Oryctolagus cuniculus: one gene and its partners. The protein of the gene in region 3 purifies or fractionates together with the protein of the main gene of each other region. This does not show direct contact. Links are inferred from orthologs where the notes say so. Each region holds a gene or a part of one and is shown on either strand. Other genes may lie near its edges.

What was found. The genes of interacting proteins can lie anywhere in the genome.
Region 1: the proteins of FYN (region 3) and CDC37 purify together in Homo sapiens (affinity purification with mass spectrometry; 5 studies listed by BioGRID and IntAct, counting the BioPlex papers as one, with this or other methods). This does not show direct contact. The link is inferred for Oryctolagus cuniculus from reciprocal best matches to the Homo sapiens genes FYN and CDC37.
Region 2: the proteins of FYN (region 3) and CD36 purify together in Homo sapiens (affinity purification with western blotting; 3 studies listed by BioGRID). This does not show direct contact. The link is inferred for Oryctolagus cuniculus from reciprocal best matches to the Homo sapiens genes FYN and CD36.
Region 4: the proteins of FYN (region 3) and SKAP1 purify together in Homo sapiens (affinity purification with western blotting; 3 studies listed by BioGRID and IntAct, with this or other methods). This does not show direct contact. The link is inferred for Oryctolagus cuniculus from reciprocal best matches to the Homo sapiens genes FYN and SKAP1.

The regions. Positions count from the first base shown.
Region 1 is NC_091447.1:67,018,373-67,020,911, reverse strand, and holds part of CDC37 (hsp90 co-chaperone Cdc37), read right to left. Parts: intron 372-2,539; coding exon 87-371; intron 1-86. UniProt on the Homo sapiens protein: Co-chaperone that binds to numerous kinases and promotes their interaction with the Hsp90 complex, resulting in stabilization and promotion of their activity. Inhibits HSP90AA1 ATPase activity.
Region 2 is NC_091434.1:145,409,045-145,412,544, reverse strand, and holds part of CD36 (platelet glycoprotein 4), read right to left. Parts: intron 1,890-3,500; coding exon 1,742-1,889; intron 1,029-1,741; coding exon 849-1,028; intron 1-848.
Region 3 is NC_091436.1:59,932,280-59,935,511, reverse strand, and holds the end of FYN (tyrosine-protein kinase Fyn), read right to left. Parts: intron 1,172-3,232; coding exon 963-1,171; 3' UTR 501-962; downstream 1-500. UniProt on the Homo sapiens protein: Non-receptor tyrosine-protein kinase that plays a role in many biological processes including regulation of cell growth and survival, cell adhesion, integrin-mediated signaling, cytoskeletal remodeling, cell motility, immune response and axon guidance.
Region 4 is NC_091448.1:24,458,741-24,462,240, forward strand, and holds part of SKAP1 (src kinase-associated phosphoprotein 1), read right to left. Parts: intron 2,387-3,500; coding exon 2,150-2,386; intron 1-2,149. UniProt on the Homo sapiens protein: Positively regulates T-cell receptor signaling by enhancing the MAP kinase pathway. Required for optimal conjugation between T-cells and antigen-presenting cells by promoting the clustering of integrin ITGAL on the surface of T-cells.

The DNA of each region.
Region 1 (2,539 bases), on a different chromosome or scaffold from region 3:
GCCGGGCCCCCCAGGCAGGCTCCACACGCGCCCCGCCCCCCGCCCCCCGGCGGCCGCCCCCAGCCCCGCGGCCCGCGCACGCGCACCTTGCTGAAGCCGTCCTTGCTGAGCGTGTCCACGTTCCAGGGCAGGCTCTTCTCCTTCTTGCGCATCTCCTCCAGCTTCTGCTCCCAGCTGCGCTCCTCCTTGCGCAGCTGCTGCGCCTCGGCCTGCAGCCGCTCCAGCTCGGCCTGGCCGGCCTGGCCGCCCTCGGCCACCTCCAGCTGCTTCAGCTTGCGCTGGCACTCGGCCACCTTGCGCTTGCACTCGCGGCAGCCACGGTCCAGCTCCTCCTTCTCCTTCTGGAACTGCTCCATGCGCTCCACCCGGGCCTGCGGGCACACAGCAGCGGCTCGTCCCGGCCCCCCAGCGCCCCGCGAAGGGTCCGCGCGGCCTCTGCGCGCGCCCTGGTCTCCCAGCTTCCAGGCTCACCTACTGAGGGCACGGCCCCGCCTGGCCCACCCCCTCCCCTCCAGCCCTCTCCGCTCCCCACCGGGGCTCCCCACCGGGGCTCGGCGGTACCGCTCCACCCAGAGCTGCTAATGCGCCTCCTTCGGTCACCGGCCCCGGCCAATCCAGGCTCAGAGGTTGCCGTACTCTGCCCACGGCCCCCTCTGCCGCGCCATCTTGGAAAGTCTGGGTTCAGGTGGACCCCTGAGCCCCTCGCTGGGCCCCACCTCTCCGTGGTTCCCCTAGGCGCCCCCAGGTCGCTCCGCATGCGGCCCCTGGCGCCTCGGGGCCCAGCAGGCTACCATGGGCATTCGGGGAGCGAACCAGCGGATGTGCAAGCAAGCTCTCTCTGCCTTTCCAATGACCCCATTTTAAAAAAATGCACTTGACACACCTGGCCAGCCAAACAGCATGGCTTAGCCTTGCCTATCTTCAAAACAAAACAAAAACTATTTATTTGAGAGAGAGAGATCTGTGTGTTTGCTGGGTCACTCCCCAGATGCTTGCAGCAGCCAGGGCGGGCCAGGCCTAAGCGGGGAGCCCAGGGCTCCGTCCAGGTCTCCCACGTGGCTGGCAGGCACCTGAGTACTGGGGCCACCAGCTGCTGCCTCCTGGGCCCAGGCCCTCCGCCATGGGCTGCAGGTCACTACTGCGGCCCACGCCTGCCCACCCCGCCCACCTCAAACAGGCCCAGGACACTGCCACTCCTGGGCATCCCTCCTGGAGTGCACGGGGACCAGCTCGCTCTCTGGGGCTTACAGAAGTGACCCCCCCCCCGAGTGTGCAACTGGGTTTCCACCGGAGACTGGGGGTGCCTGCTGCCGCATCACCACAGCACCCAGCTCCACCCCTGCCACGTGGCGGGGCGACTTTGGCCGGGCCCCTCGACCCCAGGCCTTGGTCTTCCCCTCTGAGAAACGGGACACTGCGGGGCCACTGAGAGCCCGGAGGGCGGGGCACTCGGCCAACAAGGCCCCGTCCCATTGTTACCACGGCTGTCTCTGTCCACCAGAATGAGTGGCTGACTCACTGCTGGCCTGTGTCCCCCACCCCCACTTCCAGCAGAGGGCGGGCACTTGTCAGGGAGGACCCAGAGGCCTGCACCCTATTCTGATGCCCAACCAGATGGCTCGGCGAACCTCCAGGGGTCAGGGGTCAAGACGGCCCACACCACAGGTGTCTCGAGAAAGCTGCTGGCCTCTGCCCCTCTTCCCCCGCCCCGGGCCCGGGTGCCGTCCTGCCACCTCCCAGGGACTCCGGCTGGCTCTGGGTGGCAACAGGAGCCTGTCTCCTCCCGGCTTCTGTGTGCCCTCTGAGTGGCCGCCAGGGAGGCGGAGGCTAAAAATGGCTTTCAGGAGGCGGTGAGGGTGGGGGCGGCGGCCGGCCCGGCCTGGGCTTTGCGCCTCTCAGCCGGGAGGGGCTGTGACGGGCCCCCTGCTCGGAAGCCAGGGCGGCCAGAGGGGTGCGCTCGTGTCCCTGCCCCTGTGCCCTGCAGATGGGGCCACCGAGGCTCGTGGGCGCTCGGTGGCGTGCAAGCCCTGGAAGGCGCCACTGACGGCAGCTCTCTCTGGGCAAGGGGGTCAGGGAGCGGGGCACTCGTCCCCTCCCGAAATCCATGCCGTCTTTTCTGACCACAGCAAGAACTACCTATGTGACGATGCAGACAGTCACTCCTGCCCAGAGCATTATGGACTGTATAAATTACAATCTAAACAAATACACAGACACGAGAGACTCAATACGGTGGGGGCTGGCGTTGTGGGGCGGCAGGTAAAGCTACTGCCTGCAGTGCCGGCATCCCATAGTGGAGCGCGGGTTCGAGTCCCGGCTGCTCCACTTCCCATCCAGCTCCCCGCGGATGTGCCTGGGAAAGCAGCGGAACACGGCCCAAATTCTTAGAGACCAGGAAGAAACTCCTGGCTCTGGCCTGGCCCAGCCCCGGCTGTTGCGGCCATTTGGAGAGTGAATCAGCGAATGGAAGATCTTTCTCCTCTTTCTCTCTCTCACTGTAACTCTTTCAAATAAAAACTCCCAGTCGTTCCGCTCCTGA
Region 2 (3,500 bases), on a different chromosome or scaffold from region 3:
ACTCTAGAACTGTCATAATTCAGCCAGTCACCACTCCTATTATATTGAGAAGATTGAATAAAACCTATGAGAGCAGTGACACATTTCTAGAATTACTTTAAATGTTATGACCTTAAGTAAGAAGTACTAAAATTAAAAACGAATTAGCCATGGTAAAGAGTTACGAGTAGTTGAGTTATAATAACTGAATCTGATTCCTTATGGCTTTCTATATTCATAATTGACTGATATGGAACGTTACAATCCTAACCACTATCTAAAGTAAAACAAAGAATTTGAGAATATAACTAATATGTACATATATAAAACCTAATGAAACTATTTTACATAATCTTCAAAATGCCATTTTCACAGCATTCGGTACTACTGGAAGGTCTGAATCACAGTCCCATCAAAAAAAGGCCTTCTGACTGCATAAATTTAGGCTAACATTTTACTTAAATGTTTAAAATTTTGTAAGAGGTCTGGAGAAGGAGAAATGACAGAATACATTGGGCAAATAGAAATATAGTATTGAACTTGATTTTGTAAGAAGGAAAAACAAAATAAAAATAGTTTTCAATGATTTGCAGACTTACAAGGTATGTTTGGACCACTTGTACATTTATAAAAGAGTGGAAACTTGATGACATTAGCATAAATTTTTTAAAATTTTCCCACTAGGAAAGCTGAATGTATGTGTGATGAAGACTTAAAATATATATATATATATATATATATATATATATGGTATGTATTTCCAGATCAACAATAGACTAACACACTAAATTACAAAGGATGCCTTGACTAAGACATTGCTTTCATCCAGCTGAAAGATAACAATATTTTTATTCATATTTGGTACTTACAGGATAAAACACACCCACTGTGGTGGTAATAGGGTATGGAACCAAACTCAAGAATGGATCTTTATAGCCCCATAGTAATTCTTTTAAAGTTCTGGTTTGGAACATAGAAGATTTTGACTTTTTGATGAGTGAATTGAGTAACACTTGAACAAATGTATTTTGATAGATATGAGGTGCAGCCTACAAAAAAGAAATTCACTATTAAGATATATCAATACAGTATCAGATCTTAACATAAAAGGATTAAGTACTATAGTTGAGCTTAATACAAACTTTAAAAAAAAAAGATACCCTTAATAGTATTGCCAAATGCTCCTAAGACTGAAAGTTTTTGTCTAATCTCTATAATATTACATTTTTTCTGCCTCAATGCCAGGCATGGAAGTAGACATCTCAAGTTTAGCACTAGGATTTTTAGCAGTATACTTTAAACCATATTCTAACCCAGCTGATTATGATTTTGCCATTTTTCTAAGTGACCCTAACTCTTGAAAATATCCCAAGAACACATTTTTTTAAAAGTGGCAAGTAGAAGTGGGTGCTTGGTGTAGTGATGATGACATATGAAAGTGCCTATGTTTGAGTATTGGCTTTGCGCGTCCCTGGAGTCAACAATGGTGGCTTGAATGGTTGTGTCCCTAGGACCCATGCGGGAGACCCAAATTGAATTTGGGGTTCTTGGTTTCACTTGGCCCAACCCCAGTTGAAGTCATTTGGGGACTGACCAAGTGGATGGGCTTGGTCTCTCTCTCTCTTTCCTTTTTTGTTTTTGCCTTTCAAGTAAAAATACACATTTCTTAAAATGGCACATAAAATCTATTGATAATTCTAGTGATGAGCTTAATTATGGTGGTTTATTTCTCAAATAACAATGGTTCTGTTTGCCTACTCACTGCGACAGCCAAATTGAGAACTGTGAATGTGTCATTCTCGGTTCCAACAGACAGGGAAGGTTCAAAGATAGCTCCATTGGGCTGCACAAAGGAAACCGTGTGGTCCTCAGGGTCCTGGGTCACATTTTCTTTGGCCAGATAACGAACTCTGAAAAACACAGAAGCGAAGTGACAAGAAAACCACATTTTTCTCCTGTGGATGTTAATTTTCTCGACAAATATTTGAGCATAGAAAATGCCAGCAATTATGCTACACAGTGGGGTGAAAATGATAAATTAGCCACTACTTGGACCTAGTAAGCTATCCAGAAGGAGTCTCGAACTTGCAAACTGGGAGTTTTCACAAAGGCCATGGGAAAGCACACAGCAGACAGAAATGTCAGCTTGGTGGGGTGGTGGTGCATATATTGGTAGCAATTCTATATAGGTGGTCCAAATACCAAACAGTAGTTAGGTAAAGAAGGGCAGAAAGTCACCTGTATAAATAAGAAATTACATGATATATCTGGGGAGATGCAAATGTTTTAGTGTGGCTGGATTATAGAGATAATGATACAAGCAAGATCTCATACATTAAAATGATCCTGAGGGCAAGGAAGATAGTAGAGAAGCTTAAACAGGGGAACAGTGAGAACATTTTCTTATATTAGAACTCTCAGAGTATAACCTCCTCGGCACTAGATTTCTCCATTATTTTCAGCACTTTAATGAGAACTAGAGATCATAAAATTTCCATTTTTAAGGGTCACAGACTAACTCCACCCCTCTCTCATATACTGAATACTTACTAGTGCTAAGCTCCTGGTTTTAACATCCGCAAAGTAACAACTGCTTTTGAGGAATGGAGTGAAGGGTGATTATTATGGAGAAAATATTTTGCAAGTATAAAATATTCAGTGAGAGGAAATGAGGTAGTCACTGCACTGTCAAATATTTGACTATGTGTTACATGAGGTAAGTAGATAACTAAGGTAAAGACTGAACAAAGCAAAAAAAAAAAAGCCGGCACGGCGGCTCACTAGGCTAATCCTCCGCCTTGCAGCGCCGGCACACTGGTTTCTAGTCCCGGTTGGGGCCCCGGATTCTGTCCCGGTTGCCCCTCTTTCAGGCCAGCTCTCTGCTGTGGCCCGGGAGTGCAGTGGAGGATGGCCCAAGTCCTTGGGTCCTGCACCCCATGGGAGACCAGGAGAAGTACCTGGCTCCTGCCATCGGATCAGCACGGTGCGCCGGCCCCAGCGCACTGGCCGCAGCGGCCATTGGAGGATGAACCAACAGCAAAGGAAGACCTTTCTCTCTGTCTCTGTCTCTCACTATCCACTCTGCCTGTCAAAAAATAAAAAAATTAAAAAAATAAAAAAAAACTGAACAAAGCAACTAGAATTTAAGGCAAACCATCCTTCATTAACTATAAATCCCCCTAGAGCACAGAGGATTAGTGTTTTATGCTTCCAAACACTGAGCCTGACACACAGCGATTTCTTGTGGAATAAACTGATTGATGGTCACAAGATTTTAAGAATTTATTTATTTGATAGGCAGAGTTAGAAAGAGAGGGAGAGACAGAGAGAATCTTCCATCCAATGGTTCACTCCTCAAATGACCACAATGGCTGGAGCTAGGCTGATCCAAAGCCAGGAGCCAGGAGTTTCTTCTAGGTCTCCCACGTGAGTAAATGGGCCCAACCACTTGGGCTCCCTTCCACTGCTTTCCCAGGCCATCAACAGGGAGATAACTGGAAGTGGAGCAGCTGGGACTTGAA
Region 3 (3,232 bases):
TTTATTAAATAAAAAAAAAAACATTCGAAACATTTCAGCATTCACATTTTTATACAAGAAGTCTGTGTGGTATCCGTCTTCCAGTTCCCTTAGTAGTATTGGCTGTTTGTTTAAATAAGCTCACTTTTCAGTTTCAAGGGAAAAAAAATCGCAGTGAGTTGAAGCAAATACCAGTAACAGAACTTGCGAATTCTTAAAAAGAGTCAAGATAACGTCCATGTACAGGGATAGTCGTGAAGGAAAAAAGCACAATCCAAGTGAAGAAAAAACAAAAAGAACATGCTTTGCAAAATCCAAAAAAATGAGACCACTGGCTTTTAGAATATCAGTTCTTTTCGATGCTGATTGTGTAGTCAGATCCTCACTGTGGGTCCTGCAGCTGTGGGTCCCGGGCTGGCCATGGTCTTACATTAGCACCCACATGATATATGTACAGGGACATACATTATATGTATTCGTATTTATAAAAAAGAACAAAAAAACCCAAACACCTGTCCCGATTGGTTTTTGTTAAAACATGAAAAAAAATTTTATTGTTTTAGACAAAGAGGCCACTTTTGGAAAATAATACTTTTTTTTTTTAGTTGAATCAGGTGAAGACAGAGTTAAAATCACATAGGATTTGCATTTTAAAAAAAGGAAAGCACTAGGATTGTTGGCACTGGAGTAACTATTTACACTGAACAGAGGTTTGGCCTTTTACATGACATCGATACAATGCATTTTCCAAAGTCTGAGAATTAACAAGGTTCTGTCTCATATGCTTCACAGAGGAGGTTCGGATTTGGGGACAAGTGTCATTAATGAGGGCCATGGAAGTTCGTCAGCCTCGGAGTCACATGCAATCTGATCCTGGACGGTTCTCGCTGCGCCTGCTCGGGGCAGCTGGCTACAGAATTGAAAGCTAAGGGGGAGGGAGGGGGAAGCCTCTGGGACAAGGCCTCTCTCTGCAGACCTGGGTCTTAGAGGTTTTCACCAGGTTGATACTGGGGCTCTGTGGCCGTAAAGTAGTCTTCCAGGAAGCTCTGCAAGTACTCAAAAGTGGGGCGCTCCTCGGGGTCCTTTTTCCAGCAGTGGATCATGAGCTCGTGCAGAGAGATGGGGCAGTCCTGCGGGCAGGGCATCCTGTAGCCGCGCTCCACCTGCTCCAGCACCTCCCGGTTGTTCATGCCTGCGAAGACAGGGGCAGTGAGAGCGGGCACCACCTCACCCAGCCTCTGGACCCTGCCCTCTGCGGGACACCACGCCACTGGGAAGGAATGCAGAACCGAACATGAGAAACCACGGGGACACAAAAGGCAACGTACTGATGACTGCGTTTCTCTCACATTCTAGAAGGGGCAAAACTGTGTGGTGGAAAGAAAGTGCATCAGTGGGTGCCAGGGAGGAGGGCAGGAAGGCTCGAGAAGGGGCGGGAGGGGTGATGGAGATGCTCTATTCGGGGCCAGCAAACTCTCTCTGCAAAGGGTCAGAGAGTAAATATTTAATATGTGTGGTTTTGTGGGCTGCATACAATCTCTCTCTCTCTCTCTCTCTCTCTTTCGATCCCCCCGCCTCCAACTTTTAAACATATACAACACAAAGACAGGCTGGGAGACAGCCCCAGCCCCTGGGTGATGGTCTGTTGACCCCTGTTCTGGGCCCTGTACCTGGTGCTGTGAATGTTTATGTTTGTCAAGACGCCCTGGATTGGATTCCTAACACTGCTGACTTTCATTGTAAGTAAGTGACATTTCAAGGAAGCTGATACAAACATATGCATAAAGCAGACAACCCTCCACCGCCACCCCCGAGGAGGGCACACTGCCCCTCGCTGACAGCAGCTCTGGGCTCTGCTCAGGAACGTCATCACTTCATTTCCCCGTGTTCTGGCTCGGCCCTCCTGCCAGCATGGCTGGGCACCATCTGGCCTGCTGACTCCACACTGCACTCAGGGTTGGTGACTTTGACAGGGAGGCAGGGTGTTTCTGAAGACCTCAGCCAGGCCATCTATCATGTGACACCTCTTTGACCCTCTGGGGAGCCGGCTGGCAGGCTGCATGGTGGTGGAGGCGGCAGTAGCAGCAGCAGCAGCAGCGGCGGCGGAAGCCATGGTGGGAGACCGCGTTGAATGCCTTGACCCCTGTCCTGACTGATGCGGGCAGCCCTCTCTAGCTTTCCTTTGCCTTTTCGCTGTTAGGGCTTCTGCCATCTCTCCACCAAAACCTCGCCTGCTCCGGCTGCTCCCTGGCCTTGAGCCTACACTCTGGAGTCTTCCCCAATGTTTGACTTGGTTAATTTACAGAAGCAAGAATCGGCTTCCAAGACCATAGGGAAACCAGGAATTCTTCCCCCACCGCTCAGGGTTCTGACCAGCAGGACAACACAACATATGCATGGAGCTGGCTCCCGTCTGCGGGAGGTGGCAGGGCTGCTGGCTGGAGCCTCGTCAGCGTGGTCAGAACACAGGGTGCTGGCCCCAGAGCGCATCTGCTCCCTGGGGAGGGGACGCTGGGCTTTTTGGATCAGTCGCCACTTTCCCTGGCTGTGCTGTTACTTTTGGAGCTGCCTGGCTCCTGGCTCTCAACCATAGCCCTGTCAGTCACCTGCTTGTCCAAACCCTTTTACGAGGCTTCCTGACTCTCTGCCATGCCATTTCTCAAAGTGATAAAATCTGTGCATTCTTTCCATTGCGTTGATGCAGCCCTTTGCTTTAATTAACTGTGAAATGACCTCACTCACATGTCAGGCCGACCGCTCGTTCTGAGACAGTCACCCGTGGCTCTCGCCTCTCCAGGCATCGTCTGCAGGTGGGTGCTCCAGGGTAGGGACACCAGCTGCATACATCCTTGGCTCAAATCCTCTGACTGCTGAGAGCTCAGGGGGTGGGAGGGAGCTGGAAGCACCCCCACCCCAGGAACCCACAGCTGCTCAGAGTGCACAAGGCAGCCTTTCCTAGCAGTCCTCTCCGCAGACAGGGTAGGGGACGTGGTGTCCCTGCACCTGCCTGTCCTCAGGGCCCAACCCCAGCAACCTCTGAATACCAGAACTTTTGGGCAGCTCCCTAGGCACCAAACTGATCTCACTGACCTCATCAGAACCCGACCTGGAGAGAAGCTGTTTACTGCTTCCATGAGAGTGCAGATACCTGTTGATCCCCCAGACTGTCCTGGGGTGTGGCGTAACACCAGGCACATCTGGTCCCACGGGTTTTGGCTGGGCAGCCCTGGCATGAGCGACAGCAGTCTCCACT
Region 4 (3,500 bases), on a different chromosome or scaffold from region 3:
ACACGGCAATGGTCCCAAACTCATCTTTTCTGTGGCCTCTTGCCCTCTCCTTCCGCTGTGCTGTGTCTCTGAGCATCAGCCCTCTCCTCCGTGACTCCTCTGAGAACCAAACATGGTCCATGAAAGGCCCCTTCTTGGCGCCCCAGAGGGCTGAGTGGCCGGTCCTCCACAGCTGTAACCCGACGTGGAATGTCACCTGGATATTTCCCCAGGCCTGGGCAGGAGTGAGCAGAACGCAAGCTGGCTAGGAAGACGCTGGCCAGGTTGGGGCGTGCATCTCCTTTTAGGGAGTGTTGTGAATTGGATCCATTTCTGCACCCTGCTGTTGCAATGGAGCAGACTGTGAAAGGGAAGATTCTCAGAGGAGCTGTGTTTTAATGTAGCAATTTGATTCAATTTTCCACTCTATAAAATTACCCATCACTGCTCGTTGCTTTCTAACAGACACCTTCACTCTTAATTTAACAATCCTATCGAATTCTGCCAGGGAAATTGGAAAAATTTATCACCTGTGAAATTTTATTTTCCTTTGGTTGTATCTGTTTTTGTAAAACTTCATTAACGACGATGACTTGCTGAGGAAATTATCATTTTTTTTTTTTAACTTCAGACACAAGAAATGGTTCGACCTCAACCAAGATATCATTTGCATAATAAAACACAACAAAAAGGCTGGGGAAGTCGGGACTGGCAGAAGCAGGAAGCGCTAGAAGAAGATGCACCCGCCCCTGGTCGTCCCGGTGGGTGAAGTCCCCAGCAGGGAAGGGATGTGTGTGGCCACAGCCCTGCTCCTTGGCTCAGGAACCAATGACGTGGCTTTCCCCCAGGAAGGGGCAATGCAGAACCCAGCACTGAGAGAGCCTCAGTGCAAGTTACTTGCTGAGGATGCTTTTAGCAAGCAGCCGTCTTCAGGGGCCCGAGTACTGGGTTCACCTTAGTTTCTGGGAGCATCTGGGACTGAGGCTTAAATTGCCATAAATTTAGGCTTAATTTGCATTTTGTCGCAGAGCACAGAAGTCCTGGCAAATTTCCACGGGAGCGATCTTTCTGCACGGACCACAAAGTCCAGCGCTCCTGTGGTCTAACTCCCTCACCATGAAAAGGTGCAAGCATCAGTTTTCCCAGTCTGACACCCACTGCGCTCTGCACCCATCACAGCTGCTGGTATCCCACTGGCGGGGGTGACGAGGAGCCTGGATGACTGTGCGTTTTTTTGAGGTGACGGCGATCATGCCTTTGGAAACAAGGAAATGCAGAGAGCAGACCACTGTGGCGGGCAGAGGAAGGATGCTAGGCTCATTTTTAAGAGATGTGGCTTTTTGGGGCCGGTGCCATGGCGTAGCAGGTAAAGCTACCGCCTGCAGTGCTGGCATCCCATATGGGTGCTGGTTCGAGTCCCGGCTGCTCCAATTCTGATCCAGCTCTCTGCTCTGGCCTGGGAAAGCAGTAGAAGATGGCCCAAGTCCTTGGCCCCTGGCACCCATGTGGGAGACCAGTAAGAAGCTCCTGGCTCCTGGCTTCAGATTGGTGCAGCTCCACCCATTGTGGCCAATTGGGGAGTGAACCAGTGGATGGAAGACCTCTCTCTCTTTCTGCCTTTCCTTCTCTCTCTGTGTAACTTTGACTTTCAAATAAATAAATAAATAAATAAATCTTTTTTTTTTTTTTTTTTAAAGAGATGTGGTTTTGATTTGTGGTATGTCTGAACTAAGTGGTGATGAATTGTCGGGTTTTCTGGCACTAGAAAGGTGAGCCACCACTGTATACTGTAGACTTTGACATCCTGAATTGGGAGGCAACTTTGTAGTATTCTCACAATTACACAGGAAAAAAGTTGAAACTAGAGTTTTAGAACCAATGAAATAAACCAATGGAAACCAACCTGAGTATTCACGGCTCTTTAACCTGTTGATGCATGCAATAAGTTATTCCATATGGCACAGATCAAAGACACACCCTGATCAACTTCGCCTGGCTCCCAGAGGCAGGCACAGCCTCTATCCCGGGAGTGAAACATTCCTCTGCATTTTCTTCTGCAGAGGATGAAGGTGAGATTTGGCTTCCTTTGGCGTTTTCAAAGTTCTAGTCTTCCACCAGGTCAAGAGTTTCTGAAACTAGTGCAAGACAATTAGAAGACGAAGTTTCTCACCTGGTAAGACCTCGTAAATGTCGTCTTCTTTCTCCTCTGCAGGTTCATGGATCCCCATGCCCCCCGGCAAGACAGTGGGTCTGCACTGGGGACCAGGATTTGGGGAGTCAAAACCATCAATGTCATCATACATCTCTTCCTCTTCTGCTTCTTCTTCCTCTTCCCCCTTCTCCTCCTCCTCCTCCACCTCCTCCTCCTCCTCCTCCTCTTCGCACGGAATGGTTAAGGAGCTCAGATCTGCAAGGGCAAAGATGAGAATGTAACAACCAGCGAGAAAAAGAAAAGAATAGGACAGAGAAGGAAAGAGGGGGGAGGAGGAGGAGCGGAAGGAGGGATGAGAATAAAACTTGTCACAGGGAAATGAAACGCTAGGTTAAGTGCTGTTATTTCTAATGTGGGCCTTGGTGGCAGGAAATCTACAGAAAAGGCCAGGCTCGCACTGCATCAGGTTTAAACCATCAACATAAATCCTTCCCTGCAATAAAACTTGATCAGGACGAAGCGGCTCTGGAAAGCATGGGTGTGTGCATAAGGACAGGAGGCGAAGGGAAGAAAACAGGGCAGAGGAGGAAAATGCCAGCATGCCACACGCTGCTCCTCAAGCAGAAAACTGGACGGGTGGGGGGTGGGCCTCGTCCTCCGGACGCCGGCAGCAGGGGGCACCAAGGGGGCTTCCCAGGGGAACTGAGCTGCGGGAAGCTGGTCTCCCCTCCGATCTTACTGCAGGATTGCAGATAAGTTTGGAGAAAGGGAGAGGGGAATAAATGGGTCAAAGTGGAAGAGAGAGAAAAAAAATGGGGAATGGAAAAGTAAAACAGACAGTGAGACAAGACCCCAGGGGACGGCTGAGCGGTGCAGTTACTAGGTCCTTTTGCAGCCACGGTCAGGCTGCCCTTCAAGTTTGTCTCTGCGTGGAGGATGTGGAGCTGCTGCAGCCAAGGGGAGCGGCGGGGCGGGGCAGGGCAGGGGGCCGCTGTTTTGTTTTGCTGGGGGTCTGGGAGGGTTCCTTCCCTGCCACACGGTACAGAGCGCTCTGTGGATGGGTGTGTACAGCCAGTGTCCTCCAGGGGAGGACAGGATACAGAGAGAGCGGACGTTCGTTTCCAAACCCACGCAAACTGTTTGGCTTGATTAGGCTTTTAATAAAGATTCTGCAATGATTTTCATCTGAATTCCGGTGCCACCTCATATGAGGAAAGGATCAAAGACGCATTTGTGGCTTCAACCATATGTTATTATTTTGTTTGTTTTAAAATAAAATGGAATGAATAATTTCTTCAATGTGGGATTCTGAAAGTACCACAGGGTACAGCTCAATAAAGCTGTTTCGAGTTTTATGGAGGTTTACACA